Linked DNA regions of Mus musculus: regions 2, 3, 4, 5, 6 and 7 are each reported to be linked to region 1. Evidence: microRNA targets listed by miRTarBase, many of them from high-throughput screens and not tested one by one. Region 1 holds a microRNA gene; each other region holds the end of a gene's coding sequence.
Evidence for each region. The annotated mature microRNA mmu-miR-7b-5p reads UGGAAGACUUGUGAUUUUGUUGUU and lies in region 1 at 2,288-2,311, shown strand. An mRNA with a match to its seed (bases 2 to 7 or 8) in the 3' UTR can be bound and repressed. Matches are read on the target gene's strand: a 7mer-m8 pairs with bases 2 to 8, a 7mer-A1 pairs with bases 2 to 7 and ends in A, and an 8mer does both.

Region 2: the mRNA of Pbx3 is a reported target of mmu-miR-7b-5p. Seed matches in the 3' UTR shown: 7mer-m8 at 1,790-1,796.
Region 3: miRTarBase lists Ppm1l as a target of mmu-miR-7b-5p. The part of its 3' UTR that is shown has no 7-base or 8-base seed match.
Region 4: miRTarBase lists Magt1 as a target of mmu-miR-7b-5p. Seed matches in the 3' UTR shown: 7mer-m8 at 1,115-1,121 and 7mer-A1 at 2,600-2,606.
Region 5: miRTarBase lists Mtss2 as a target of mmu-miR-7b-5p. The part of its 3' UTR that is shown has no 7-base or 8-base seed match.
Region 6: the mRNA of Myo9a is a reported target of mmu-miR-7b-5p. Seed matches in the 3' UTR shown: 7mer-m8 at 1,950-1,956.
Region 7: miRTarBase lists Glyr1 as a target of mmu-miR-7b-5p. The part of its 3' UTR that is shown has no 7-base or 8-base seed match.

What each region holds. Positions count from the first base shown.
Region 1 is chr17:56,240,730-56,245,099 of GRCm38, forward strand. It overlaps Mir7b (microRNA 7b), which reads left to right and starts at 2,259; the gene lies at 2,259-2,369. A230051N06Rik (RIKEN cDNA A230051N06 gene) reads left to right here and starts at 987. Exons shown (of 2, transcript NR_155493.1): 1 at 987-1,085; 2 at 1,427-2,076.
Region 2 is chr2:34,168,942-34,173,311 of GRCm38, reverse strand. Pbx3 (pre B cell leukemia homeobox 3) reads left to right here. Exons shown (of 9, transcript NM_016768.2): 9 at 339-1,855. The coding sequence ends at 431. Among named protein-coding and RNA genes, the nearest start is that of C230014O12Rik, 63 kb to the right of the region's middle.
Region 3 is chr3:69,552,706-69,557,075 of GRCm38, reverse strand. It overlaps Ppm1l (protein phosphatase 1 (formerly 2C)-like), which reads right to left. Exons shown (of 4, transcript NM_178726.3): 4 at 1,672-4,248. The coding sequence ends at 3,902. Among named protein-coding and RNA genes, the nearest start is that of B3galnt1, 44 kb to the left of the region's middle.
Region 4 is chrX:105,967,745-105,972,046 of GRCm38, reverse strand. It overlaps Magt1 (magnesium transporter 1), which reads left to right. Exons shown (of 10, transcript NM_001190409.2): 10 at 568-3,963. The coding sequence ends at 583. Among named protein-coding and RNA genes, the nearest start is that of Atrx, 41 kb to the right of the region's middle.
Region 5 is chr8:110,738,361-110,742,730 of GRCm38, forward strand. Mtss2 (MTSS I-BAR domain containing 2) reads left to right here. Exons shown (of 14, transcript NM_198625.2): 14 at 1-3,041. The coding sequence ends at 717. It overlaps Il34 (interleukin 34), which reads right to left. Exons shown (of 7, transcript NM_001135100.2): 6 at 4,284-4,370; 7 at 3,469-4,088. The coding sequence ends at 3,919. Among named protein-coding and RNA genes, the nearest start is that of Gm15894, 15 kb to the right of the region's middle.
Region 6 is chr9:59,924,242-59,928,611 of GRCm38, reverse strand. It overlaps Myo9a (myosin IXa), which reads right to left. Exons shown (of 44, transcript NM_173018.2): 44 at 1-4,041. The coding sequence ends at 3,581. The region is part of intron 2 of Gm20275 (predicted gene, 20275); the gene reads left to right. Among named protein-coding and RNA genes, the nearest start is that of Gm20275, 15 kb to the left of the region's middle.
Region 7 is chr16:5,011,678-5,016,047 of GRCm38, reverse strand. Glyr1 (glyoxylate reductase 1 homolog (Arabidopsis)) reads left to right here. Exons shown (of 16, transcript NM_001079814.1): 16 at 446-2,146. The coding sequence ends at 520. It overlaps Rogdi (rogdi homolog), which reads left to right and starts at 2,495. Exons shown (of 11, transcript NM_133185.2): 1 at 2,495-2,585; 2 at 2,674-2,745; 3 at 3,539-3,621; 4 at 3,753-3,807; 5 at 4,356-4,370. The coding sequence starts at 2,541.

The sequences.
Region 1 (4,370 bases):
GGACTGCAAGGCTCTGGGTTCATATCCAAATTGAAAGAATGGGAAGAAATAAGAGAGAAAAACAAAGGGCGTGGGGCATGCAAGTTTTACCCAAGAGACTGCTAGAAGGGAAAGGGACAACTGATCAGAGCTTAGATCTTGCAGGTGGCTTTCCAGGGTCTCATCCCAGGTTCCCTGCAGCCCCTCCTCCCATGCCCCTAGGGTGTATAGAATGAACCTGGCTTGCCAGCTCCGCAGCCTGAGGAGCTGGTAGGAGATTTACAAGCCTGAGTGTGTGTCCTCCCTGACTGTCTGTCCCTTTGGTGCTACAAAGGAAGCTATGTAAATGAAGGTGTGTGATGTGCCACACACCAGCCTTCCCAGTGCTGAGAAGGCTGAGGCAAGAGGATCACAAAAGTGAGAGAGACTGTGTTAGAGGGGGGAAACTGTGACTAGGGCTCAGGGACAGAGCGCTGGCCCAGCAATCAGAAAGCACTAAGTTCCATTCCCAGCACTGCATCAATCTAGTGTGGAGGCAAACTCCTGATGGGAGCCTGAGGCAGGAGAATCATAAGTTTGAGGTCATCATGGACTACAAATCAAGACCCTAACTCAAAACAAAACAAAAATCGCCAGAGCTCCGCCTCTATCCTACGCTTCTGTGAGTCTCATTCCCGCACACTTCATCTTCCCTGTGTAGAATTGGACTTTATTTTCAAAATCCCTCAATTTCTTCAAACATTTTTTTTCAGCTTCTCTGTCCCAGCAGGCACACGCTTGATGATCGCTAATCCTCTGGCTACTCAGTGATCAGGTTTTAGATGATCCTCTCGTGGAAACTTAACAGGCCACAGGACTACACCCTGACACCTTCTGGAGACCCCTAAAGAAGTTTTTGGACGGATGCCTGACTTTTATTCTGAAGCCGAGGCCTCAACCTATGAGGTAATCCTTGGAGCTTCATTCCAAGACGATTCCTATTGGTTCACTGGCTAAGCCCCACCCAGGGTTTCCAGCGCTCCGCCTTCCCCTTAAGCGCATAAAGGTGAAACGTCGGAAACTGGACAGCCACCGAGACACCTGCAGCTGCTGGTGAGCAGGAGAAGGTAAGGCACGAAGGAAGGAGGAAAAGGTGCGCTGAGGGAGGGAAGCGGGGACTCTGGGTACAATGCAAGTTGGCACATCTTCCAGAAGGCCAACTGGACTGTTTAGGAAGGGCAGAGAACCCAGGGCTGTCTCCCTGAGATGTGGGAGCAGGTGAGAGCCTTGCGCCTTCGTCCCCGCCTAGAACACCCCGGGTCCATGGGAAGAGATTAAAACAGAAGATGGGTCCCTAGGACGAAGAACAGAAACAAGGAGCGGGGCATTTTGGCAGAAGGCAGAAGCTGGGAGAGTGTCCTCGAGCCGCACTGACCACCCCCTCCCCCAATAACTAATTATGTTTCAGCACTGGAGACGCGGACAGCGCCATCCGGCTGAGGGACTCGGAGCAGAGTTCGGCTTCAGCACCAGGATTTCGGACAGCTCCCAGCGGGTCACGAAGAGACTAGGCTTCAGCACCCGGCCCCTGGCAGTGCCAAGCTCTCAACACCCAGCTTCAGGGATCGCCTTGGGGTCTGTTCTGGCGGAGAGTGTACAGGGAAGGAACCTCTTAATGGTTCTTGGCATTTGTCCTTTACGGAGGGATTTTTTTTTTCTTTTTTGAAACAGGGTTTTTTTGTGTGTACCTCTAGCTGTTCTGAAACTCACTATGTAGACTAGGCTGGCTTCAAACTCACAGAGTACAGGCGAAGCATTTGGTCAACGAGATGTTATGAGTGCCTCTGGGTGTACTAATTTCCAAAGTGAAGTGGTGAGGGGAAAGCCAGCCTCAATCCAACTTTAAATCTCAAGTTCTTTTTATTTTTAAAAAGAGTTTTTCTCTCAATTATATATATAATTATTATTATTTTAAAACACTGTAGACCAAGCTTTGAACTCCTTGTGTAGCCAAAGATGATCTTGAAGTTCTCATCCTCCTGCCTCTACTCCCTGCGTGCTGGGGTGACAAGTGTGTGCTCCTCGTGCCTGGAACAATAAATCCCACGTTGGTGATGTGCCAGGGTGTGAGTTGGGGGGCAGGTAGAGAATGAATCTTGCCTGTGTCTCAGGGGATGGAATGGAAAAGGGATGTCTAGGGAGGGTAAGTCAGTGAGTGGGGTTTGTTATGCTCAATCCTCTATGGAGAGAGAGAGAGAAGCACTTGAGGGTGTTGAACCTGGCGGAGGAGGATGAGGACGAGGAGCGGAGTACGTGAGCCAGTGCTATGTGGAAGACTTGTGATTTTGTTGTTCTGATATGATATGACAACAAGTCACAGCCAGCCTCATAGCGTGGACTCCTATCACCTTTCTCCTGAAATACACAAACAGGTAGGGGCAGGAAACTGGGACAGGAGGGGGTTAAGGGAAGTCTAGCACGGACAGGAGAGGGTGTCTAGCAAGGTCTCGGGCCCTGGGAGAGTGCAGGAGTGTTTCCCATGCTATTGGCCTGTCACTCAAACACATCTACATGATAGGATCAGAGACACAACCTCAGGGCCCTGGGTCACAGCACCGTGCTTTCTCTGGAGACTCAAATAGGGAATGGTGAGCCAGTGGAGTAACTCAGAGGGAAAGAGTGCTTTGAAATTAGGGAACCCAAGCTTGAGCCCCAGGATCAACTGGGTAGAAGGATAAAACCAACTCCTGCAAGTTGTCCTCTGACCATACATGTCCTGTGACACACATGCTTCCACACACAAATAAATAAACACACATAAAAATTTTTCTTTTTTTTTTTTTTAAGAGAGGGTTTCTGGGGCTGGTGAGATGGCTCAGTGGGTAAGAGCACCCGACTGCTCTTCCGAAGGTCCAGAGTTCAAATCCCAGCAACCACATGGTGGCTCACAACCATCTGTAATGAGATCTGACTCCCTCTTCTGGTGTCTGAAGACAGCTACAGTGTACTTACATATAATAAATAAATAAATCTTTAAAAAAAAAAAAAAGAATTACATTTAAAAAAAAAAAAAAAAGAGAGGGTTTCTGTATATAAACCTGGCTGTCTTAGAACTTACTCTGTAGACCAGGTTACCCTCAAATTCAGAGATCCACCTGCCTCTGCCTCCTGAGTGTTTGAATTAAAAGCATGTGCATACATAAAACTTTTTTTTTTTTTGGTTTTTTGAGACAGGGTTTCTCTGTATAGACCTGGCTGTTGCTCTGTAGACCAGGCTGGCCTCGAACTCAGAAATCTCCCTGCCTCTGTCTCCCAAGTGCTGGGATTAAAGGCATGCGCCACCACTGCCCGGCCATAAAACTTTTAAAAGAGGGATTGGCATCAAAGGTACTTCTAGAAAACCCTGAAATTCTTTTCTCTTTCTTGTTTTCTTTTCCTCACTCTTTTCACTTTGCCTGCTTTGAGACAGTGTCACCTGTAGTCCAGGCTTTTCTCTAACTCTGAATGTAGCCCAGGATGGCTTTGAACACTGAGTTCTCTTGCCTCCAGTCCCTGAGAACCATGCCTAGCATACACGGTGTTGGATTCAGAATTTCAAATGCTTTGACTGGGTACGGTACCCATGGAGCCCCAGCCCAATTTTCAATAAAACTCTGTGCCCGCCACACAAAGCAACCACTAGTTGCATGACTGATACCAAGAAAATGTGGACTTGTTGTCTGGTGGGTCATGGCATTCTTAACATTCAACACCTATCATCTGTGACATTCTAATGCAGTCACTAACCATCCCCCACTGTGCAATTCTCCCCAGCTGTCCTAGTGTGCATCCTGGTGCTGTGACAGGACCTTGACTCAAGAAAAGGGCAGGAAAGAGTTTATTCAGCTTACAATGATGGCCACACTCCATCACTGAGGGAAGTCAGGGCTGGAACCGGGAGGCAGGAGCTGATGCAGAGGCCATAGAGGGGTGTTGCTTACTGGTTGCTTACTTGCTTCCCCTGGCTTGCTCAGTCTTCTTTCTTATAGAATCTGGGACCACCAGTCCAAGGATGGCACCACCCACAATGGCCTTAAATCATTAATCATGAAAATACCTGATAAAGGCCTTTTCTCAATTGAGGTTCCTGCTTCCCTTAAGCTCCACCCGTGTAAAGCTGACATCAAACTCAGTCACACAGCAGCCCAGGGGCTGCTTTGTCCATGCAGTTTCCTCTCTTGGGTCTGCACAGTCCACTCACATAACCTCCCATAACCAACTCTGCCTTCTCCAGGCTTCAGCTCGGTGGGAGAAACTTCCTGTTACCTCACTGGTCAATTAGGACAAGACTTTGTTAACATTCTCAGCCTCCTGCAACGGCCACACTATTTAGGAAAGGCTGATACTCTCAAACAGAATGTTTACAGATCTCT
Region 2 (4,370 bases), not on the chromosome of region 1:
CATCTTTTTGAGCCTTTCCACTGTACCTTCTGAGAGGTTGCTTTTGAATGGTGATTTTCACCAGCAGATCAGAGGCCAAGCTCCATGCCAGCCTGGGACTAGTTGAAGTCATCTTCACCAAGCTGATTTATCACTAAGTCTTTACTTGGTAGGATGGATTTGTTTCACATGCATTTAATTCCACTTTAACACATGCTTCCAACTCCTGCCAACGTGGGTTCAGAAAATACATCTTGCTAATGCGCCTTTGCTCTCCTGTTGTCGTTCTGGGTGTTCTAAATTGGGGAGTGGAATTAATATGTAGACGTATACCCACTGAACTGTACCTCTTCTTTCAGGCTAATGGAGGCTGGCAGGACGCAACAACTCCATCTTCTGTGACTTCTCCTACGGAAGGCCCGGGCAGTGTGCACTCGGATACCTCTAACTAATCCCCGGCGCTTTCCCAGCTGACATGCCTTGATAAGCGCATTTGGAGCACTAGGAGAAGGAAAGCGTTTGTAACCCACCACCTACAGCTTTACTGTAACCCTGTCTTCTTAGAGAACTCGGGAAACCTGTTTTTTAAGGAATCATAATCATTTGTATTTAAACTTAAGACACACGTTTAAAAAGAAAGCACTTTATCCAATTAGGCCAAGATGTAACATTGTTGACACTTCTTTAACTGTTTCATCCTAATTTATTATGGGTCTTTTACATTAATGGTTCCACAGTTGCCAGTTCCTTGGCCTTAAGGGTAAGAAGTACCATCTATGCTAGACCCCAATTATAGAGCAGGCAAGGTTCACCCTGCCTAAGCTGAACCCTTGCGGATTTCCATGCAGGCTCTCATCATCGTTCTCATATCACGGATGGGCTTGGAGGGAAGGCGATGTCTGCCTGTCTTCTTAAGGAAGGCATTTCAGGACTTCCCTTGCCATGTTTGTGTTGCCATCTCTTATGTTGTAATTAGGTCAAAGACTGGTGGCCTCCTTTCTCCCTCTGAAGTACCAGAGCCTGGAGTCTGCGCTAATGAGACCATGGATCCAGATTGCCCTAAGATGAAGATCTTGCTGCTACAGAGGTGAAAACAAGACCTGTCTGGGGTTTGACCGTGTGCGCTAGGTGCTGCACAGACTTGTCAAGGTGTGCTCTTCCTCTGGGCAGCCTGGAAAGGCCCTGCTCTCTGGAGTGCTGTATATAGTGTAGCAAAAGAGTATTTATACATCCCACCAATCAAAACACAGCTTTATTACCTCATGCGAACTCATACAAACCAATAGAATCCCAACATGTTCTGTAGCTTAGAGCGCTCACTTACTACCTCTGAACAATACTCACGCTGTAGTTTGTCTCTTTCTTATCTTTTTTGCATCTTGTAATTAACTCTTTGTTTCCCTTCACAAAATGTAATGTACATTGTAATCTTTTAAAAGAAAACTCAGGGTTGCATTTGCAACCCTTAAAAAGCCAAGATTGGCAACATTGGGTCTGACTCTTAACACAGGATCATCCAAGCTGTTGTAAATACTGAGAAGCGTTTTGAATGTTCTTCATCTTGTTACTAATCCATACAGAAGAAAAAGGAAAAAAAGAAAAAAAAAAAAAAGGCGGGTTCTTGTGATGCGTTCAGATTCAGTATTCAGCACTGTACATTTCACCCTGTGTGGCGGGCCCTCTCCTTCTCTTTTTGTATTGTATGCGATTCTGAAACTGACTGGGTCGTGACAATAATTTGTGGCGGTGATTCTGATGTATTAAAAGCGTTCCGTGTTCCTTTCTACTGGCTCACACCCTGGATTGAAAAGTCTTCCTTGTGGTAGTTATATGTAGTTTCAAACATGAATAAACTTTGCTTTCCTGATTAAACTTACATGCCATGTGTGTCTCTGTTCCTTGAGCTAACACAAGTGTGGGCGTGGGGTGGGGAGGATGGTACTTGCTGGGAACTGGGCTAGCAGATACATGGTCAGTGAAGGTGGAGGTGACAGTAAAGCTGTCGGGTGCTGTCCCTGGTGAAGCCTTAGACTGTTCACTAGACCATCTCACATCCCTTCACTTCCTGTGTTTATATACTGAGAAACTGAAGCACAGACCTGGGACAACCCAGGGCCCACCTTGACCCCAGGATTGCTACCCTCGGCACTCACGTTCCTCTGACCTAATAGCAGTTCTGGAACTTGCTAGATGGTCTTCTGAATACCAAGAGCTTTGTCCTGTTTATTTTTTTAGCCAGTTAGAGAGGAACAAAGGTTTGGAAAGAATGGGCCTCACGTGCCAATCAAAAGGCAAAGGCCCCTTACCCTTCTCCCTACTCTGTCTTAACATTCTGTTTGCAATATATACACCCAGCTAGACATTTTTAACAGATTGGACGCTATTTTTGTGTTACTCAGATTGTAATAAAGCCCATATATTTGCATACATGCTTGTCACTAATGTCCAAATCTTTATAATAAAAGAGGTCCATTGCAGATAATTGGCCTGTTTACTATATCTCAAGGAAATTGACTCACAGGAAATCAGATTAATGCTAATCAGTTGCAGCAAATGTCTATGATAAATATATCTGTTTTCCTATTTCAGCTGGTAGAACCAAGCAGAACAAGGGCTGGGGCCACCGCCCCCATTAATCTTACAGCAGTTATTTTGTACAGATAAACTTTATAAAATAGATTGCCCTCCACAGCTGTCCTCCCTCATGTGGGCGCTCAGCCTGCCCACAGGAATCTCTCCCATGGCTAAACAATTATTTGCATGATTCAATTAGCTTGTGGGTTAGCCTTTCTTATCTTTATACATAAAATAATCCCTGAGCTGTGTGGTTTTGCAAACTATATCCAGTGAAAATATCACATACAGATACACATACACAAATTCATCTTTCTTAGCATCCCCAGACACCCAAGGACCATCTTGGCTTTGTCCTGGGTCAGTCTGTTGAAAGAAACACTCAGTGGAACTTACTAGGGGTTCCTAGCACTTGGAAGGGATATGGGTAGGGTCTGTGGCTATATTCTGGGGATACTTACATAGGAAGAACCATCCTTCCAATTTGCTGGCTTAAAAGATGTTTGTACAATCTCCCTCCTTGCTCTTTACCTCCTCTTGGGGTGGGGGAGAAGAGCATGCCATTTAGTTTGGGACATTGGTATACCTCATTGGTCTTCCTGCCCAGCCTTCTGTGGCTCACAGGAATAGGTATAGTTTACAGGCTTGAAGAGCGTATGGGCATTGGCCCCAAGGACCTTATGTGGATTCAGCAATAGATTTTGAGTAGATTTCAGCAGCCACCTTTCCTGATCAAACAGTGAGTTAAGACCAGACCCAGAGTCAACTCAGTCCACCCAACAGGAGCTGGATCTCTGGGACCTTGCTCGGCTGGTTCTGGAAGCCAGTGTTTCATGGGGTGTTGGGAAGACAGGCAAGACCAACCCACTCACAGGGCCAAAAGGAATAACAGCAGAGTGAGGGGCCCTGCCCAGTGGTAGATGAATAAGAACATAGGTGCTTGTACAAGAATGTGTGCTCAGTGTCTGGGACCTCCACACCCCAGCAGCTGCTCATTTCTAGCAGGGTGTCATTCACACGAAGACACCATGTCCCTTTTCTCTGAATTGGAGAGGCTGTGTACTAGAAAAGTCTTTCTATGTGGAAAGTCATGTCAGGATTGGCTTCCTAGATATGGGGATGGGGGGGTGTGTAAATGTGTGCCATACCTTGGGAAGGAACCACCTTGGTTGGACACATGGCCTCTGCTAATTAAACATCTCTCATATCTAAGTCAGTATTACTAACTTTCCAGCTACCACTGGTGGAAGGAAACAGAGTCCCCAGTGAATGATAGCCATTATGCCTCTGTGTAAGGTCCTTTCTGGGATAAAGAAGCCAGGAGCATCCTTCCCTGTCCCCTTAGACTTTACAAGAATCGTGATTCATATCCGAATGTACTGAGGTATATGTGATGAGGGCACATTGTGTGATGTCACTTGTCTGCATCACCAAGTTAAACGATGACTGATAGAATCAGTGCTCTGGGGCTGGGTCAGGCCGGGCACCATGACTAGTGATAGGTAGAGCACTTTCTTAAGGCAGCCAGTGAGCGAGCACAGCGCTGGGACATGACCACTATGGGACCTCTATTGCTGCAGAGGTTCTGTGCCTGAACTCTGTGCCCTCACGGTGTCTTCAGGTCCCAGGATCTGCCCAATTCTTGTCAGTTCTACCTACAGCCCTCCAGGCTCTTGCCCTTTGCTCTCATGAGCTTTAACATAGGCAACACCACACACCCCCATTATTGTGTTTATCACACCTCAGTTACTAGAGCAGCTACCATGGCCATCCATTTTCATAAAGGGAATCTAAGGCTCAAAGAAGGGATGCCACCC
Region 3 (4,370 bases), not on the chromosome of region 1:
AAGGAGGGAGACCTTTCAATATGCCTGCTGGCCTTCTGCTGTCAATGGGAGACTGTCAGTCATATTAAATCATAACATTCCAATACTGCTTCTACTGTAAGCCAGCCTTGCAGGCGAGAGCTCAGTGCTTCTGATTTACAAACCGTCATTCCAAGGTGGTAATGAAGAGCCCACTGAAATGTCAGGAGGGTCACTCAGACATGTCTGTGATCGAGTTCATTTGGAAAACATGAAGCTCACAGACACTCTGTTAGGGCTCTGTATGCGTTTTCTCCTCTCCTATTTGACATTTAGCTTGGTCATGAATTTATTTCGCACTGTGAAGTATGGTTCCCCCAACTTCTCTGACAAGAAAACCATGTACCTGAAAAAACATTTTTAGCATACGTGTTCTCTTGTGTTGAGGACCGTGTTGAGGACCGCTAGATTCCTCTATTCCTGCAAGATGCACCCAACTAGCCCAAAGTCCTAAATGAGAATGATGTAACCAGAGGCTGTTCAGGGTTCATAGTTCATACCGCCCACCCCCACCCTATCTGACCAGCATAAAGAGCTGAATCAGGAGTGCTGGTGTAACAAACAAAGGCTATTTTGGACGACTATTCCAGGGAGATCTGTGTAATCCTGGGTCAAAGGAAGGAAAAAAAAATCTCTGAAATCAGGAAGAGGAGGACCATGAGAAGAAACAAACAGGGAAATCAAAGTACACCTGGCAGAGGAAAAAGGTCACTCCTTTTGTGACTCTTTCATGCATTTCCAGAAGCTCCGGCCAACAGTGCGGCCAGTTCCCTGGAGCCTCCTCAGAGGATGAAAACATCAATGCTAGCACTCCCGTGCTGTCATCGGCGGCAGTGCAAAATGTCCACGTCACTACTCCTGCATCACAGAAGCTGTGCTTATGTCACCAAGCCTTCTCTTGGTCATGTTTTGACATACACCAGATTCAAGGGGCCAGTCCCTTCCAGTCACAGCAAGGGGCAGAGCGTACCAGCCACCAGGATTGAGTGCACACGGCCATATGGTAGAACAGTGATCCAGAGGGGCTTGGGCAAAGCTGGTCACAGTTTAGAAATACAGGTCTCAGGAACTAGCTTTGGATTGTTCTAGGTCCGTATAATTTATTTTTATGATTAAACAACTGCAAATGCAGTGAGTTCTTTAAAATCCCTGCCCCTGCCCTCTCACCCTATCCCACCTGAGGAGGACAGATCGCCAGGGGAGCAGCAGGGCTAGGGTTCAAGAGGGCCTGGGGCTGGCATCAACTTATTCCTCAAACACTGTAACATTCTCCCAAGTTTGGCACTGTGGGGACTATTGGCAATTAGAACTCAGGCTAGGTAGGGAGTCCGGGTAGCCTTGGGCACGGTCCCAAAGCTTTGGCAGTGCTGTTTATGGAAGCTTCGCGTGTACCCTCTCAAACCCGAGTCTCCTGCAGCTAGAGTCACCCTTCCAGAGCTGCTAGAGAAGGGGAGTGGCCAGAGCACCCAGCCCACACCAAACTGTAGACTCCCCACAGCTGAACACAGGTCAGGAGGGGACAGAGAAGAGCTACTCTGGCCTTATGTGTAACTACTTATCAAAATACTACCATTTTGCCTAGAATTTCTATCTTTAAAAAAGTCTACAAGCCACGGGAGGGGGGAAGAGGCAAGAAAGGAGTGAAATATATTCTTTTTTTTTTCCTATTTGGTTAAATAAGTTACTTCTGCAAAGCAAAATGTACAAGATCTATAAATCAAGATCAAATGTACAAGATCGATCTATAATATCTATATCTATAAACCTCAGTTAGAAGGCTCTGGAACTAGGGGGGTTCAGCAATGCTGGTTAAGAAACCCTGCTTGCTCAAGGAGTACCAACCAACTAACTTGGCAGTTTTCTTTTTTTCTTCACCCAAACATTTGTGTCTCAAATTTATTTATTTTTTTCCTCTTGTTATATACTTTTGTGTTAAGCAAATACAGAAGGGAAGTTGACTGTATAGGCTGTTGAGTCTGGACCTTTAGTTAGAAGATGGGTTTTGGGTACTCTCTGGTAAGAGCATCCTAAGCCAACAAGCTCATCCCATCACTGGTTAAACCCACACCTGACTTCTCTGTTCCCCACCCACCTAACCCATAATACACACCCATCAGTGCACGTCTCTCCACAATCAATGCTTCTGTCTAACATGATAGAATGTGTTTTGTACTAAAACATTCTGAGAAGCAGAAAAGACCCTAATTCCAATGTTGAAAACACAAGATACAAAAGTAAGCAGATTTCCTGGGAAGCCATTATTAATTCTTGATGCAGCCAAAGGAAAGCAAGTTCCCAGAGGAATCCAGACAGTTTGCAGTCCTCAGAGTCCAAGTCTTTCATTCTCCAGACTCGGCTTCCTACAAGCTCTGCAGCTGAAGGAGAGGGCCGGGGTAGGGAGAGCTAATGAGCAGGGCTTGAGAAGTCATGCCGACACACAGCCTCTCTGAGAGAACAAAACAAGGCCGGCTCTGGTGTAGGTCTGCAATGAAAATCGTGGCTCTTTGGGGCTGGTTCAATCAGCAAACAGGACAATCTAATATGTCCTATAAATTAACTTACAAAGTACAGAGACTGGGAAAAAAACCCCCACAACTTTGGTGTTAGTAAGGGAAGAGCAGTAATCTAGGCCCCAAATAACTCTGCTGCTTATCTCTGAGGGTTCCTGCTTGAACTCCCAACCAGTGCACACAGGTCCCCAGGAGCCAGTCTGCTCTTTCCCTCCAGGTCACAGCAGACAGTTCCTATTTGCCTGGGTATGGACAGAGATTTGCAATTGACCATGAAAGGTCTTTCTCTTGCCAGGAAGCACGTCCCAGTAGTTTGCGCCCCGATACCAACTTGTGGTGGTAGCTGGGAACAGCACCCGTGGGTGATTCTAGGTTGCTGTTTCTCCCACCTCTGTTTGAAAGGCATGAAAGCTACTAGGTAGGGTGGGCTTGGGAAGGGCTGTGCAGAAACCAGCAGTTGGTGAGTGTGACTGGTGACCCCAGGACTCCTGCCTTCCTCTCCAGTGCAGACAGCAATTTTCAAAAGGTCATGGAGAACCATCCCAGCCTAATTCCTCCTTGAAGATGGAAGGGCATACTGTACTGCGATGTGCTTTCCGTCCTGCTTCCTCCCCTCTCTGGGGAGTCTTGGTGAGGGGAGACAAAAACTCACGTCTCACGGTGAGGTCAGCGGCAGCCCTCGATGCATCGTAAGGTGTGAACAAATGGCGAGGCTGCACTCCATGAGAGGCGTAAGGGCTGGCTAACTGCATCCCGACTCTACTGAACTAATGAAGGAAGCGAGCGGAAGCGGGGAGGTCTGGCGTGCAGGAAGCTGCACTGGCTTCCCAACTCTCAAGTCTCTAAGAGCAGGCAACAAATTACAAAGTGTTGCATGTCTCCTTCCAGGATGCTGGAGTACTGAAGACCAAGACTCAGAAGGGGAGAGCATTTCTGAGGAAACTGCTTCAAGGCAGAGGGCATGGCCACCTCATTGTCATGGTGAAGTGTTGGCATCACCAGCTTGCCCTGCCCAGGTTCAGAGAGGACGCCAAGTCAGGTCCCTGAAGGACCACAGAAGAGATCATGAAAAGTACATTATTAAGAAGGAAAACATATGGCCTGCCTTTCCTTTGCCTCATATGTGGGATCTGTGGCTACCTATGTATGTGTTTCAAACACTGATAGAAGGGCTGGGGGGACACAAACTTAGCAGCCTCTGCGGTGTCAGCAAGGGAACCCTCTGCTCAGTACTCCAAAGGGATTCAAGGCCATCAGGGAAGGGGGTTCTGTGTTGGGACGCATGATCCTAATTATACCCACACCTTTTACTACATGAAGAGAACAGTATGTTGAGAGTCCTCTAGTTTGGGGCAGCTGAGATCTGGCAGGGTTCAGTGCTCTTCTGTTTTGCTACTATTCCTGAACTTCACCACCATGACAGTGATGTTGTCAGGGCAGCCTCTGTAAAAGGACTGCAGGACGATGCTTTTGGCCCCAAAGTGGGGCTCATCCAAGCGCTCCTTGATGAATCGAACCGCTTCTTCATTGCTGAAAGCATCCCACAGGCCATCTGAGGCCAAGATCATGAACTCCGGCTGCAGCTTGTCCAGGTCAAAGGTCAAGATGTCTGGGTCTGGGATGACCACGTTGAGATTTTTCAGTGGATAGTCTCCCAGGGATCGAGACATGGCTAGGATTCCCTGGACCCTCCAGGAGCCATTAAAGCTGATGAACCCACCTGGAAAGACAGAGGGAGCCTGTTAGCTTGTTCCGGTCTGGGTGAGTGTACCACAAGCTGGTCTGCTGCAACAGAGCTGAGCCACAAGCACCCCTCCTTCACCTTCGTCACTGCCAAGGCCA
Region 4 (4,302 bases), not on the chromosome of region 1:
TAGGTCATGGTACATATATTAAAATCAACATATTATGTATTTATAAAATGTCAAACTTAGCTGGGTGTGGTGGCGTATTCCTTTAACTCCGGCACTTGGGAAGCAGAAGCAGGCAGATCTCTTTGAGTTTGAGGTCAGCCTGGTCTACAAAGCAAGTGCAAGACGGCCAGGGCTGTTACACAAAAAAATCCTGTCTCAAAAAACAATAAAAAAAAAAAGTAAGCCGGGCGTGGTGGTGCACTTTAATCCCAGCACTCGGGAGGCAGAGGCAGGCGGATTTCTGAGTTGGAGGCCAGCCTGGTCTACAAAGTGAGTTCCAGGATAGCCAGGGCTATACAGAGAAACCCTGTCTCGAAAAACCAAAAAAAAAAAAAAAAGTAAAGCCTTCTTATTCTCCTCTCTCTTCTCATGTGTTCCCAGCCAGCCTTTTTTCTTCTTCTGTCCTTCTCTGCCTCTACCCCTTTTCCAGGTCCTTGCTACCCCCCACACAATAAACCTGCTTTTATACTAAAAGTAAAACTTAGTTTCCTTTCAGAGACTAATATACTGATATATATTTTATTTCAGCTTTCTGATGAGTTAAAGAGGATTCCAGAGAAACATTGACACTGGTAATGGAAACTGAAAAATAAAAACTATTTGGTGTTTGAAGAATGCAACTCACATATTTTATATTACCTCTTTTTGTCAAGTGATCTAAGTAGTTAATCATTAAACCAAAGATGTGTAGTGCCTTAACAAGCAGTTGTAAAGATCATGAAGTGTTTGGAATTGTGCTCCTCCTAACCTTCCCTTCCCAATGAACTTAGGAAACATTTGGGGTTTGTAGTATTAAGTACTTTATAAACATTTAAAACTACTACTTCATTTTACTTAGAGAAAAACTCAAAACTACTATAGTTAACTTGATTTTATCTCATCTAAGGTTGGGGATGGAAGGTTCTGAGCAGGAATCTCCACCTCTGCCTATTGCAAACAACTGCATCTGGAAGCCATTGTTCCTTTTCCTTCTTTGTGCAGATGTGTGTGCTTTACAGACCTTTCCTCTTGGGCCCAGGTATCATATACACTGTGTCATCTGAAAATGGACCGTGTCGCCTTTGGAAAGATACATGTCTTCCTGTGTCTTTCCACCTGAAATCAGCTACATATATGCCTCCTTTTACACATTCAGAAGTACCTCTAACTAAAGACTATGATTTGTGCATGAGTGTGCTATAACTACCTTGTACATGGAAAGATTTCTCATTCTGTTTCTAGTTTTATTTAAAGTAGCCCTTCTCTAACAATAATAGTTTCTTGCTAAAAATCAGTATAACTTATAAATGGTCTCAAATGTTTGTGTAAGTTACGCATTGTTATTGATTTCATTCTTATGTAACAGAAAAATAAGCTGAGTTGTGTTCATGGAAAGGACTCCCTTAGAAGAATGAGAAAACACAATCATGAAATACTGATTTGTTGCCTAGGTACAGAAATGAAATGGTTTGCCAGGCTGTGGTAGATGAAGGCTGAGCTCTGTGAGTTTGTGGTCAGCCTGGGCTACATAGTGAGACCCTGTATCCAGGGGAAAAGAAAAAAAAAGGAAGGAAGGAAGAAAAGTAGCATGTTTTCAAGCTGAGGCTGGGGCTCAGAGGTATAGTGCTTGCCTAGCAAGAGTTACACTCTGTGTTCAATCCCAATGCCTTAGAAAGATTTCTTGAAACCTGGTCTGTGAATTTTTCCTTGTTTTGATAAGGACTGTTCCTTGAAACCTGGTCTTTTGTTTTTTAAAACACATGTTCGTAAAACATGGGGCTATTTTTTTAAAATAAGTGTTTCTTGAAACCTATTATGGCTCTTGTTTTCATTTTTGTTTTTGTGTGCCGGTTTTCTAAAAGCAATGTTCTTGAAACCTGTCTTTGAGACAGAGCTCTCGCTGCTCTTACCTCTCTTAGGGAGAGCTGTCCCGCCTTCAGCTCACATTCATCCTCCTGTCTCAGCTTCTCAAGTGCTGGGGTTGCAGGCTTGTGCCACCATTGACTGTAATCTGCTTTTGCTATCAGTTTAGCTTTTTATTTACCCCGTCAATTAGAGATACAAAGAATGGTAGCAGGCACCTGCCTCTGCTCTTAGCTACCCTGCTGGCTGAAGTAGAATCCAAGAAGACCAAGAACTTGACACATTCTGGCATCATATTAACACCTCATCTCAAAAATATGTCAGAAAAGAAAACTATGAAGGGATTTTGTTTGAATTTTATCTTTTTTTCCTGGTAGTGAAAATAACCATATATGCTAACCAGTTTTCTATGAGGAATATTTAAATCATGGTTATAATATGGCTGACTCTGGCTTTCACCATAGTTATTAAGAATAATCCAGGGAGCTGGAGAGATGGCTCAGTGGTTAAGAGCACTGACTGCTCTTCCTAAGGTCCTGAGTTCAAATCCCAGCAACCACATGGTGGCTCATAGCTATCCATAATGAGATCTGATGCCCTCTTCTGGTGTGTCTGAAGACAGCTACAGTGTCTTACATATAACAATAAATAAATCTTTAAAAAAAAATAGGTTTGCCAGGGCTAAAGAGATGGCTCAGTGGTTAAGAGCACTGACTGCTCTTCCAGAGATCATGAGTTCAATTCCCGGCAACCACATGGTGGCTCACAACCCTCTGTAATGGAATCTGATGCCTTCTTCTGGTGCACCTGAAGATAGCTACAGTGTACTTACATACTGTACATTAAATAAATAAATAAATAAATGATCCAAAATGCTACTGTTAAGAAAGTGTACTCTTAGGCCGGGCAGTGGTGGCGCACACCTCTAACCCCAGCACTTGGGAGGCAGAGGCAGGCGGATTTCTGAGTTCCAGGACAGCCAGGGCTATAGAGAGAAACCCTGTCTCAAAAAAGAAAGAAAGAAAGAAAGAAAGAAAGAAAGAAAGAAAGAAAGAAAGAAAGAAAGAAAGAAAGAAAGAAAGAAAGAAAGAGAGAGAGAAGGCAGGAGGCTTGGAGTGGAGCTCAGTGCTAGAGCACTTAAAAGGCTGTGGGTTCAATCCCAAATACCACAAAAATCTAGGAATGTAACTGAAAAATGGAAAGACATATTAGAAACTACATTTAAAATATAGACATGGATATGTGACTGAGTTGATACAGTGCTTGCCTAGCCATGGGTTCAAACCACAACATCACATAAGCCGGGTATGGGTGTAAGCACATGTGTGTTATCCCAGTGCACTCGGGAGACAGATGGGAACCAGAAGTTCACCCTCATCCTTGAGCATAGCGTGAGTATAAGGCCAACCTGAGCTACATAAAGACTCTATCCCAAAGACAAAACAAAAAACAAGAAAAGATACTGTGACTATTCCCTGCTATTGATCATGCAATAGCCTTCCCATGTCTTATATAATGGAGTTTATAGAAAGAGATGGACATAATTGACCCAGGAAAAAAATTTGGGGGTGATTTGTTGTGGTTGCTACAAATTTGATGACTAGAAGGATCATTCCTTGTAAATTGAGTGATTCTTAATTTCTTATCTGCTATTCATGTACTTGTCTCTGCCAAATGAATTTACGCTGTGATTCTTAGGAAACTAGTGTGAAGACTTGTCAAGTTGAACTGGGCAACACTCCTACTGTGTTATCTCTAGCTGCTGGTGCCTCCCGTGGCCAGTGTTTTGTGTGTTTTCTCCTTGTTTAAGAGCAACATTCTTGTATGGAGAAAGGCTTGCTCTGGCTAAAATCTGTGAAAAGCAGATTTTCTCATTTAAAATAGTGTTACTTTTGTGGAAATTTTAAATTTAGCTTTTATCTGAAGTGCCTTAAGTAGATTCTTAATTTACTTTTCTAGTACTGGTTTGAATATAATTCATTATGTATTTTTAATATACTGTTCAAAAATGATACATACTATAGCAAAGATAACCAAATGTCTGGCTTACTGCTTTCTGTCAATAAACTTTTACAATCTAAATTACATGGTTTTTTTATTCTCTATTGTCACTACTTTTCTGTTACTATTATAAAATACCCTGACTCAAGCAACTTCAGGAAGACACGGCCCATTTTGGCTCAAAGATGGAAAAGAATATATCTAGAGAAGACATGGCAGCTGCAGCATGAAGCCCTCAGGCAGTCAGGAAGCAGAAGGAGAATAAGACCAGTGATGTACGCTAGCAAGACTGTCTCTAGAAGGTTCCACAACCTCCCAACCACTACCACTAGCTAGCAGATGAGCCTGTGAAGGTATTTCATGTTCAAACCACAGCACATTTCTCCAGAGGGATCAACATGAAATACCAAAGGGGGATTC
Region 5 (4,370 bases), not on the chromosome of region 1:
TCTACCATTCCTCGAAACAGCAACATAGCCCAGAACTACCGCCGCCTGATCCAGACCAAGCGCCCAGCCTCCACCGCCGGGCTGCCCACGGCAGGGCTGCCCACAGCCATGGGGCTGCCCTCCGGTGCACCTCCCGGTGTGGCCACCATCCGCCGCACACCCTCTACCAAGCCCACTGTGCGCCGCGCCCTCTCCAGCGCTGGCCCCATCCCCATCCGCCCACCCATCGTCCCTGTGAAGACACCCACCGTGCCCGACTCCCCTGGCTATGTGGGGCCCACACGGGCAGGCAGTGAGGAGTGCGTCTTCTACACAGACGAAGTGGCCTCACCTTTGGCTCCAGACCTGGCCAAAGCCTCCCCAAAGAGGCTCAGCCTGCCTAACACAGCCTGGGGCAGCCAGTCCCCAGAGGTAGCTAGCTACGGCGGCGGGGCTGCGGTCGGGCTGGCCACCGAGGACGAAGAGCAGCAACTGGCTGCCAACAGGCACAGCCTAGTAGAGAAGCTTGGGGAGCTGGTGGCCGGTGCCCACGCCCTGGGTGAGGGCCAGTTCCCCTTCCCTACCGCCCTGTCAGCCACTCCTTCGGAGGAAACGCCCACTCCACCCCCTGCTGCCACCAGTGACCCCCCGGCCGAAGACATGCTGGTGGCCATTCGTCGCGGGGTCCGGCTGCGCAGGACCGTCACCAACGACAGGTCGGCGCCCCGCATCTTATGATGGTGCCGCCCACCCCTCCCCGTCTGGGCCTGGCACAAGGAGGTGACCGGATCTGTGAGCAGCGGCCAGCCACTCTGAGTGGCGGCCCAGCCAGAAGACAGAAAGCAAAGCGTCAGGAGTGAGGCACAGCCACTTTACGGAAAGACAACCAGGCTGGATCCCAGCATCTCGCGGGAAGCGACTTCCCTCACACACCTCGCCAGGACAGAGCCTGTTTTATACTTTCCTTACCTACTCAAACCTCCTCTTCCTTCCTCCAGGCCCTGCTACATCCAAACCCCAGAGCCCATAACCAAGGGCTGGGCCTGCTACATGGGGCCCTACCTGGCCTGGGGTCCACAACTCTCTTCCTCTGGCCCGGCTGTCCTCCGGGGCCATATGCCCAGCTCTTTCCTTGAATGCTGGCTCCCTCTTCTCCCTGCCTGGACCCTGTCCCATTTCCTCTTGCCTTTGCCCTGCCTCTCCCAGGCTCCTCTCTTTGGGGCACAGGGTGGTCACGGAGGGGCCAGGTACCCAATCAGCTGAGGATCTTTGTGTGACTGGGTTTAGGGACAGTCAGGCATTGGGAAGCCAGGCTTGCTCATGGGAAAGAGCCCTGGAGGGAGGGAACGTAGGGGCCTTGTCTCAGGGGACCCTCCAGTTCCCTGTGAAGAGTAACTAGTGGGGTGAGGCAAGGCAGACAGGGAATGAGTCCAGAGGTACCAGGTGTTTTGGATGCCCTGTTCTTGTCTGGACACTTTGGAGCTTTTACTCTAGGGGCGCCTTCGGGTTACAGTGTCACCTGTTGCTGGAGATAAGGGCTGGAGCATTAGATGGTGTGGGGGTTATTTTATGACTGTAATAAAATGGAGCTGACCCTAGACAAAGAACTATGTGGGGCAAGCTGGTGGTACAGGGTGTACGTCTGAGTGCCTGAGAGAGGGGTGTGGGAGCCCTCAGTGGGCTCGAGGCCAGAGAAGGGTAGAATCACTCCCCCCAAACCGGGGGAAGCTGCTCTTCTCGCCAGTGTCTGAAGTGTCGGTAGAATAAGGCTGGTGAGGGTAGGCCAGGGACTCTGGCCAGTCTGTTGAGATCTGAGCAAGCTGCAGGCCCGGCTTGGAGCAAGTATTAGAAGGTTGGTTTGACTTTCTGTTGCCAGAGGCAACACCATCCCAAGAAAGTCTATGCCTACAGGCCTAGCTGGGGCTGGCAGCAGGGACCAGAGGAAGAGTGGGTCCTGCCTCCCTGTCAGCCCAAGTCTGAGCAAGACTAAGCACGTAAGTGTAAGCCAGAGGAGAGATTCGGGAGGTAGAGCAGGCAGCAGACTCCAAGGTAGCATTCTGCCCGACCCCCACAGGGAGTCCAGAGAGCGTACCTTGGTCTTGAAGGAATGGAGTTGGGGCTGACCTGGGCCCAAGGTCATGGGTGCTCCAGTGCAGGGCAGCCCAGTAGGTCTGGTAAAGCAGGGATTCCTGTATGTGGATGGAGTTACCACAGGGCTCCCCGAGGCTGCTTAGCGAGTTATCTCCAGGGTCTGAGACCTGGCCCACCAAACTCAGTTGTCACCAGAGCCCCGAGTATAGAGTCCAGGAAAACAAATGGCCAGATGTGGAACCCTGAGGCATATTTTGGCTGCATCTTCCCCAAAAGAGCTGTCAAGGCTGATGGAAAGGGATGCAGGATGTCAAGTGGGCAGATGTGGTCCCTATACCCAGGGTGTGGTTGGGTCCTAGAGAAGGGGGTCCAAGAGGATGGGCTCACTGCCATCTGAGGACTCCAGGCCCTGATGGGAAGGGAGGCCAGGGACTTCCCAGGAAGAGGATGGGGTGGCATGCCCACCCCCAGTTTTAGCCTTCCCCTCCCCCCCAGGGCTGTACATATTCCATCCCCTTGTCTGACCCACAAGTATCCTCCTCCACCAACCACCACTTCCTCTAGTGCTCACCTCTCTCATAGGCCCGCCCTCGGGATCCGAGCCAACCATCCTGCATCACAGACTGGTTTGGGGGCTTCTTCACGTACATTTTATTTTATTTTATTTCATTTCATTTGTACAGCAAAACATTCTTTTCAAATGTGTCTTTTGACTGAAGTAACTTTTCTGGTGCTGTTAACTTGTATTTTTTTTTTTTAATTTATTTTGCCGCCCCTCCTTGTTCCTACTCACCCTCCCCTAACCCCCAGCCCCAGCCCATCACTTTTATTCTGTTCTTTCTGCCAAGTTTGGGATAAATTCTCCCGCCCACCCCGGTTTCCATCCTCTCCTTGATTTAAATAGTCACTGCTACAAAGTAACAAATGCACTGTGAAGATCCCAGTATTAATAAAGCAGTACTGTAGTTAACGCCCCGGCTTCCTCCTGGCTCCCCTGGGCTGCCGGCTTCGCTCACCTCTGCTTCCTACCCCTGCGCCATACCTTTGTCATCATCCCTGGCCTGGAACTCCAAGCCAGGTGTCATTGATTTAAGTTCAGGGGCGGGGGGTTGGGGGGTGAGGGACAACTTGGGCAAGGACCTAGGTTGGTCTTTGATGTGCTCCCACGGGGACTGTGGGGAAAGCCAGAGGAAGCGAACAAATAGAAATATGGTCAAGAGGCACCTGGACACCTGAGCAGACATTACTTGGGCCTGCTGAGACAACGCGAGCTAAACAGGGCCGGAAGAGCCAAGTACTCAACCCCCACCCCCACCCCAGTAAGACTGCCCACTGTGGGCTCCAGAAGCCCACCCTTCCATCTCCAGAACTCAGACCCTCCAGGTTCACCATCAGAGATGCAAGCCAAACCAAATAAATGGCCATTTAATAGAAAAAGGAACCAGAAGAGCATCGTCATGGCAAGATACGGCATTTGGTTGGTCCTCGGCCCAGCACCCCACAGTCAGCACAACTGAAAAGCCCCAGTAAGTCCTGGGATCCTAGGAGGCACCCCGTCGTTCTTGGCCACCCGCCTGTGGGGCAACAGTGTTTGCAGATTTCGGACCGGGCCACAAGCAGAGGTGGCTGTAAGGGATAGCAACCAGCCCTCCCCTCCACATCCCTCCCCTGAGGCTCCGTGATACCACCAGAAGGCAGGAAGCCTGGGTGTGGAAGAGAAGGCAGGAGGCCTTTCCCTGAAGGCCTTTCCTAAAGGGGCTACCTACCCACCATCCAGGAAGGTCTCAGATCCAGGCCAGTTTCTGAAATGCATCCAGTGGCCCGACCCAGGGTCAATACATAGATTGCTCAGGGCAACGAGCCATGGCTTGAGCTTGGGGATCCGGGCAGGGAGGTGGGGGTCTGCCGAGACAAAGGGTACACATTTGTAGCTGTACATTGCATCAAGGACCCCGGACTGTGGGGATGGAGCCTGGGCAGCTCGCAGTCCTGCCATTTTAAGATGGGGCTTTGTTTACCTGCAAGAAACAGAAGAAGAAAAAAAACAAGGTCTGCAGGACAGAACAGCCAAACCACACACTCCTGCCCCCATACTCAGGGCCCAATCCAGCTTCCAGAAAATTGGGGATGCCCTCTGATTGACTCTGCCCACACACATGGACCCAGATCCCTTGGCCCACAGTTGCCATCCACGCCCACCGGAAGCCTCTTACAGCAAGAACAGTACAGCAGTTCCATGACCCGGAAGCAGTTGTCCAGCAAGGCTTTGGGCCGCACCAGCTTCAGGCTTAGGCCTGGAG
Region 6 (4,370 bases), not on the chromosome of region 1:
ATAATACACAGTATTTTAAAACTTTACACTCACCATACTTATAAATTACTTTGAGTCCATTAAAATAATATAATACTAATCTGTAGTCTACACCTTTCCCATAGTAAATACAAATACTTGGTTCAAGAGGTGCAACTCTTATATGACCTAAGAGGGCTGATAAATAGGCATTAAGAGTGGACAGGTGACAAGGTGACAGACCCATTGCTAGGGCTTTTTTGAAGTTTAAACCAGGAGATCAGTAAGATCTAATACACTGGAGATTACCCACTTAACACCAAAAGTGTGAGAATGTTCCAGAGAAATGTGGTCTCTTAGGGATGCAGAAAGTCAGGTCTTCTACAAATACCTAAAAAATTTTACTACTAAGGCCAGCATGGTGTTGGGACACAGTGCTAGGAAGTTATCACAAGTGTGTGGGTGCATATAACACACCATTCAACACAGAAGAATGCAGGGCCCACATCTATTTCCCCACCAAGAATTTTTAAAGTGAGAAAGCCATCTGGACAAACTTCTTTCTCCAGTTATAACTCTCAGCGTCACACACCTGAGAATCCTTCCTTCGCTCTAGCTTATTAGTTACAGTTGAAAACACAGCTCACAGGCACAAAGGTGGAATGATACAGCCTCAATGTATCACCTCATATGAGCACATTTCCGTGACACTGTCTTTGATTGAGACACAGAACAGTCTTCATACCCTATGCAAGGTGAGAGTGATAGGTTTCCAAAGCCTGAGAGCTGGCCCTAGTGACCTGTGCCCTGAACTCACATCCTTTTGTCTCTCCTAGCAATACTCATATCTCCGTTTGTGTGTATGACCTAGAATGGTCATATAATCAAAATGGCAGGAAGTACAAATATGTGCAAACTAAGTGTGTCACCTCCCTGAATCCTGCCTGCATTTGCTGTAATTTGCTTCAGTCTGTGATGCAAAATGTATTGTTTGCTTCTGCTACATTTTCTATGACACACAGCTACAGACACATATTAATGAGTAGGGAAAAATGTAGGAGTTATTGTGGACTAGAAGTATGTGACATAACTAGGATGCTCTGAAGTTTGGAGCACAGGTTCCACATGTGAGACACTCTGCTGCTGCCAGAGAGTTTCTTTTGGTGCATTTTAAGACTGAAGAAAAGCAGCTAGACAGACATAACAGTGAACTCTATGTGGATCTGTATCATGGGTGAGGATTCAGAGGCTCTGTTAAGAACTGATGGAGCCAGACATCTGACACTACTGAGTTATGGCTTCGTCTCTATCAGATCAATAGTGCCTGCTAACCCAAGAACAACAGCACTCTTTTCCTTACAGGGACCTACACTTTGCCGAGACATTCTTATAGTTGTGTGGATTTCCCCCACCCATCCTGGCGGCTTGTTAAATGATTAAAAAATCCACAAATCTAGCAAATGAAAAAAAAAGTTTTTATTTAACTTTATTCAAATTCAGGTTTTAGGTCCCTGAGAAAAATTATAAAGTCTTTAATATTGATTACCTAGTTCCTACAAGGTGACCTATGTAGGTAGGTTGGTTTTTTTTTTTTCTCAGCCCCAAATTTACTTTATAGAAATAATAAAAACAAAAAACTGAGCTGTAAAACTTTAGGAGGGAGAATGTGTGTCAAGTGCTGAGTTCCAGGACATTCCTCTGAAACAAAGGAAATTGTTCTGAGCCAAGTGGAGAGCAACAGTTAGCAACAGTTACCACCCAGTAGCAGCTACTTTCCCCAAATACTATAACAGACTGTATAGCCAGAAAGGCCCAAAACAGCACCCCACCATATCACAGCCATGCTGGCTTCCTGTAGAACAGTTTCCAAAACTCTTATTGTTAATGCTGGAGGGATATAAAAGTTAGCATTTACTGAATGACCATCATCATCGGGGAGATTTTCAAAACTTCCTTCATGTGTCTCAATGCTGAACCCATACCATGGAGAGGGAAGACTCCAGCCACCATGAGCTGCTGTGCAAAATAATGCTACAAGTCTCATCTCTAGAGCCGGCCAATGACCACTATTGCAGTGGCGTGAGGTTCAGTGTTGTGTAGGAGGAGAGACCTTGCCTTAACAAAAGACTTCTATTCCTGTAACTTCAAACCAAAAAAGGAGAAGGAGGAGAAGGAAAAGAAGAGGAGGAGGAGAAAACCAAAATTCAGGTTATGGATATTAAAGGCTCTTCTTGTAACAGTGCATGTGGTAGTTAGACAAAATGTATTTAGTGACTTTAAAAATAAACATTTCATATACTTAAGAAATGGTATCATGTTTCACTTCACATAACATAAATAGCAAAAACAGAGTTCTAGTCCCACAATTGCTAGTACATGATGCTTCTGACATTATAACTTATGGAAACTACCAGTGATGAAAAAGATGCCCTTACTTATTCCTCACCCCGGGGGTGAATGGCTCTCACCACCTGTCTAATGGCCTCTTATCTGTAGGGAGAAACTCAATGGGAATAAGGGGAAAGCACAAGGTTAAAAAGAACTAGGCATATTATACATGTGTATTTACAGTAAACTTCAGGAACAAGAATATTAACAAAAATAGCTTCAAGTAGTCCTTGATTTTTTTCATCTAATACTGATGGTCTGATAAGAAGACAAAAATTAAATAGATCATATTTAAACTTTCTAGACTTCTTTTGGCGGCTTTTTCTATAACACTCATGCACAGTTGTATGTATGTGAGTACTCCTAGATAAGTGATGAAATGGTTACATCTATGGTGGTACTCCACCAGCAGATGAGTAGGCTCGGATACAGTCTTCAGTTTATACAAAAAGAAAAGCTTGGATCAATCAGGATGATGCGTTCACATTTAGGAATTACCTAAATGTGCCTGTGACATATTTCAAACAAAAACCTAGAGGAGTCTGATCTATAATCAGGGCATACCAATACAGTATGGCTACCAGAACTTTACCCCATGAAATATATTTGGCAGGAATTAACCAAGCGTTAAACCAGCACTGACTATAATACCAAATATCAACAAGAGACAAAGCATGGTCTCTTCACATTCCTGTAGCTGAGACACTCTGGGCTTAATGGAAATCAGTTTAGGTTTCCAAAAGATAACATTGAATGTTTTGTAATTAAATTTAAAATAGAGGGCTTATAAATCCTTGGGGAAATTTTTATATTCTAACACAGTTCCTAACTATTCCAATACAAACTCAAAAGCTTTTGTTTCCATGGTTAACAGAGGTTTGTATGTTTTCTTTAAATGCTAGAAATGAGAGCATACCTCAGGATCACAATAGCTCCCTAGTTCAGCAACTATCTGTGGGAAGGGAAAAGTAGGTGGGCAAGAAGCAACTATTATTGGCCAAAATCCCCCAGGTCCCAGGTGGCTTTGTTCAGTGGACTCTCAAATCAAATACAGCAGCCAAGGCACAGCTGGCCCATCCCTAGCAAACTTCAAAGCGGCCACTTTTGCCAGAAGCCCAGTGATCCAGCATACAATCTGTCTGCTGAAACGAGGCAGGACCATTAGGACCGACTGTTACAAACAAGGTGACCAGAAGAGGCCCCAAAGATGAGATCTGGGGACACATCTGTCCATTTAGACCATAAACTCATTATTTCCAAACAGTGGTAGTTGCTGTGTGGAGCTGCAGTCTGAGTCCACAGTTTTCTTTCGGCCAGATGTGACTGTCCCCTCTGGGGTCTCTTTGGTTTTCTGAGGTGAGTTTTTCACATTCTTTAGTTTTTGTTTGCCCTTTTCAGGGTTGAAGGTTCCTCTGCTGATGAACTGAGGCCTGTCTTCTAGGGATTTGGCTTGGCCTAGCGGTCCTTCCGTTCCCTGGGCCTCACAAGCTGAAGCAGCTCGGTAAAATGGAGACTTGGAATAAATCTGAAATCGCTTTCTAGTGCCATGAGATGATGTAGTGTTTGATAGACATGAAGAAACGGAGGAGCTGACGGAGTCTAGAGAGTCTGGCTGCTTTCTTAGCTGCTTCCGCGACTTGCTTGAAGGTTCAGACTTGCCAGCTGCTTTCAGGGAGCTAAGGGCTAAACTTCTCTCTAAAAACAGAAAATAAAGTTGTACATAATAGTGTCTACCTATGCAACATCATGTAATGAAGCTACTGTTCACATGTGAAACTGAATGGGTAAAAAGTTCTGAGGATTTAGTCAATCTCTTTTGTGCAGAATCATTATTGTAAAAGCTGTCTTGGAGCTGGCCTCAAACTTACAGCGATCTGTCTCCTGAATCTGGGATTAAAAGTATGCACCACCAACCAGACTGAACCTGAGAAAGTTTTTTTTAACATTAAAAAAAAAAATTGCCGGGCATGGTGGCGCACGCCTTTAATCCCAGCACTCGGGAGGCAGAGGCAGGCGGATTTCTG
Region 7 (4,370 bases), not on the chromosome of region 1:
CAGAGATAGCTGGTATATCAATGGGCACAGCTGCTGTGTTGATGAGCACAAAGGAGCCTTTGGAAAGGTTGGTTGGGAGGTGTCAGCCATTTTTTAAGAAAGGGCACAGTGATCCTGAGTATAATACAACATCCTCGGAAGACTGCATTGAGGGCTGTCACCTTGACTCCTAACAGCACTGAGCACTTCACATGTCTGCGTATAAATAGAGCCATGAGGGTTGTGACTGTTCCTTCTTCAGGTGGGGCTGTGGCAGAAGCCCACAGGCTAGGCCATCTGCTCCACATCAAGCCAGTATTCATACCCACATATCTCAAGCTCTAGGTCCTGCCTGCTAAGCAACAGGCTAGAACCATCTGGAAATGGCTCCAGGAATCAGGGCTCTACCACATAGTAGCTCTGTAGCTAGAGACCAACCTCTACCTCTTTTATTTTTTTTTTTCAGGTATACAAAAGAGCCAAGGCACTGGACCAGTCTGACAATGATATGTCTGCCGTGTACCGAGCCTACATACACTAAGCCTTGCCTGCCCATCTACCCTCCCATCTTCCCTCTGACCTCCCCTCCCAGTGTGGGGTCAGGGTTCTGGGACTAGCTCTGGACCAGTCACCTGTCTCCATTTCCTTTTATACAGACTTTGAAACTTGCATCAGCACAGTACACAGCAGCACCCTGTCTCCCTGAGGCCCTGGCCAGGGATAAGAGGATCTATCTCTCCTGGTGGCTGTGAAGAAGCTCTTGAGCTGGGCCTTGATTGACCCTGGAGCAGGAGGTTGTGGATTCTCTCTGTTCCTCTGTGTTCTCTGTCTCTGTCACACACACACCCAGGATAGAAGCTACCCAGAAACTGCTGCCTGGCTGTTCTTGCAAGCTTAGCCCCCTTCTGGTCAAGAGACTGGAGGGACTAGAATTGACAGGGAGCACTGGAAGCTTTCAACTTCCCCAGGACAGAGACTGGCCCCCACTGGGCCCCTGAAAGGAGAGGCCCCTCAGCCATCATGAACCAACAGATTCCCTGAGGAGGCTCTGTGGATCACCAGCTGAGGAGGATTTTCCTGTAGACACTACCATTACACCGCAGCTCCCAGAGTGTCTCTGTGAACTGAAGAGAGACCAGCATAGCCACATAGACCCCTCTTCAGGGGGAGCAGAGTCTACAGTCTTCTGTCCTGAGCCTGTTCCTCCCAGGAGGTTTCATTTGGATTTGCATTCCAGCCCAAGGGAAGGGGCCGTAAGGGCCTTGGGAGCAGTGAAGTGTATGGGCGGCTCCTTCCTGTTTCCATTACGCCAGGCTCTTGAGCTGGGCTACCTGTTCAGCCTGCTCTACACAGGTCCCCTGCATGTCCCTCTTCCCCTTTTCCTTCCATGGAGATATTTCTGTCCCATCCTCTTTTGACCCAGCCCCAGCCTGATCAACACCAATAATAAGCATTTCCTAGATGAGCATTTCCTAGGCTGGGCTTTTGATGAGGAACCTTACTTCTGCCAGTGGTTCCAAGTTCTGGGTTTTTTGGGACTTGAAGCATTTCTCCTTGAAGAGGGGACCAGAGAGGCTTAGAATGTCACACGAGAGGAATCACCCGAGGAAGCCTTCCTCCTCATGAGTTTGGATTTTCAAAGCCACGATTTAACTTTTCCATCTGGGATAAGGATCTCAGGACATGGGCACGGGGCAGGGGATGCTTGTGGAGTTCAGTGCAATTGTCCATTCACTGGGATGCTGAACAGTTTCTGTCTGGACACAGCCTGTCTTGGTCCTGGGGGCTGGGGGTGGGGAAGATGCTGTAAGAAAACCGGTTAGTCAATGTTGTCTTAATATTGTTGACAATTCTGTAAAGTTCCTTTTTATGACTATTTCTGTTTAAGCTATTTCACCTTTCATTTTGAAACCCTTTCCTTTTATGGAGAAAATGTGACACTGTGGAAATGCTTGTAAGAAAGCCCCTACTCCCGCTTTTCCTTGAAATGACAGATCTAGGTGATTACGGTTGTGAATTTTTATTTTCACTTTGTTTTTAATGAACATTTGTCTTTCAGAATAGGATTGTGTGATAATGTTTAAATGGCAAAAAAACAAAACATGATTTTGTGCAATTAACAAAGCTACTGCAAGAAAAAAAAATAAAACATTTCTTGGTACCATAACTGTATCATTGTACCCAAATGCTAGGGGGACCTAGGTAGGAGCCAACTCACCTGATTCTTTCCCGGTGGAACCCTGGGCGGGCTCCATCTAGCCGGACAATACTGGAATAACTTGATGGACGGCCCCGCCGACCAATCAGTGGTGGCCAAAGCCCGGGTCCCTGCTGAAAAACAGGGATTGAGGCGGGCGGATAGAAGGCGAGGCGTGGCCTATCCGTCTAGCCACTCACCAGCCAGGACTAGAAGCTACAGCCAGTCGCTTGAGGCGTAGCCGGCTTGAGGGCGGAGCTTGTGCCCTATTTGCCAATCGGTCACGGGAGGAGGCGAAAAAGGGGCGGGCGTTGCGCGCCAAGCTCCTGACTACAGACCTCAGAGACGGTGCGCGGCTAGGAGGATGGCGACCGCGATGGCTGCGAGCGCCGCGGAGCGGGCAGTACTGGTGGGACGCGCTCGGCGGGCAGGGGGCGGCGGGCGGCCAGCCGACCGGCGGCGGGGATGGGATGGGTTTGACGCCGCGCTGTCCGCAGGAGGAGGAGTTTCGCTGGTTACTGCACGCTGAGGTGCACGCCGTGCTGAGACAGCTGCAGGACATCCTCAAGGTAACGCTCCCGCTGGTCCCGCCCGGCCTGCCATCCTTCCTATCCACCGGGTCCTGCCAATCGCACACAGCAGATGCTGAGCGTGACCCGTGCAGATACCCACTTCTGAGAGTACAGTTCAGACGCAGACATGCTGGCATGTAATTACACAAGCAGTGGGCACCAGGTCTTGAGTGTGAACTATCTTCGAAACTGACATTTATCTGTGAGCAAGCAGGGTAGTGGTGAAAGCTTGTGATTTCAGCACTCGGAAGAGTGAGGCTAGAGGTTCATGAGTTAGAAGCCAGCCTTAGGCTCCATTGTGAAACACTGTCTCAAACAAAACAGTCTCAAAACAACACTGATAATCCGAGCTCTGAAGTGATCTCAGCCAAGTTACCCGGATTTCTGAGCCTGTTCCCTTACCCTAACCAGGCTCACACGTCTGTTTGTGAAGATAAATAAACTATCTCACAGAATGCCTAGGACAGTAACCTAGCAAAGCCTGTTACTGTGACTACTGATTGTCTGATTCGGGGACTCTGCTCCCCACACATATCACAGCACTCCAGCTTTCTAGGCACTGTGCCTCTCTGTTCTGTGTTCCACCTGGCTGCTCATGATATACTCAGGACTGGAATGAACGGGTCTGAGCTCATAAAATCTTGGAGGTTTAGTAGGGCAGAGGCAGAGGGGCCAGGTCAGGCCTGCCCTCCTCGTCCCTTCCCCTGCTAACCTGGCAAAGTATCCAGGCCTTGGAATGGAACACTGGCCAGACTGAGGTGAGGTGTTGGGACTGCGCTGTCTTCCACAGGAGGCCTCTCTCCGCTTCACTCTCCCAGGCCCCAGCACCGAGGGCCCTGCCAAGCAGGAGAACTTCATCCTGGGCAGCTGTGGGTGAGCTGGGTTGGGCAGGAGCCTTTGGAAGGGGTGTACACCTGGGGGGAGGAAATGCCCAGGGTACGGTGGGGCAGCCTGCAAGGGGAGGGAGCAGTAGCAGGCGCTCCTCTGACTCGTGTGTGTTACAGCACAGACCAGGTGAAAGGGACTCTGACTCTGCAAGGGGATGCCCTCAGCCAAGCGGTGAGTCCCCCAACAGTCCAGCTGGTGACAAGGATGGTGATGGCTTAGCTCTGCCACCAGCTAGCTCTGTGACCCTGGCTCTGACCCTTGTTGTCTCTGACCTGTTTCCTTGTATGTCTGTAATGTCACAGGCAACCCTCACACTACCTCATGAGATAGGCTTTAGATCCCAGGAGGGGAAGGACAAGAACCTGATGGCATTACACTTAGTTCAGCCTGGCATCTGGACCCTGTGAAATACAAACTTTGGAAGCCTAGGCAGGCTGGCCCCGCATCAAAGTTGAATGAGCCACCACCCTCTGATCTAAGGCCTCAAAGGCCCTGGGGGACAGCCCGTCCCCACGGTTCAGACTACACCACTACCTCCTGTCCAGCTCTTCCCCTTTCTCAGCTTCTCTCGCCCCCCCCCCCACCACCACCACCACCACCACTTTGTGGTTCTTCCTGGGTCTGAGTTCCTATTTCTTGACATTCCTCTTTATCTCCCTCCTGGCTGGCTGAGGCGCCTAGGGCCTCAGCCATCCCCCCACTGCATTGCTGGCTCACAGGATGTGAACCTGAAG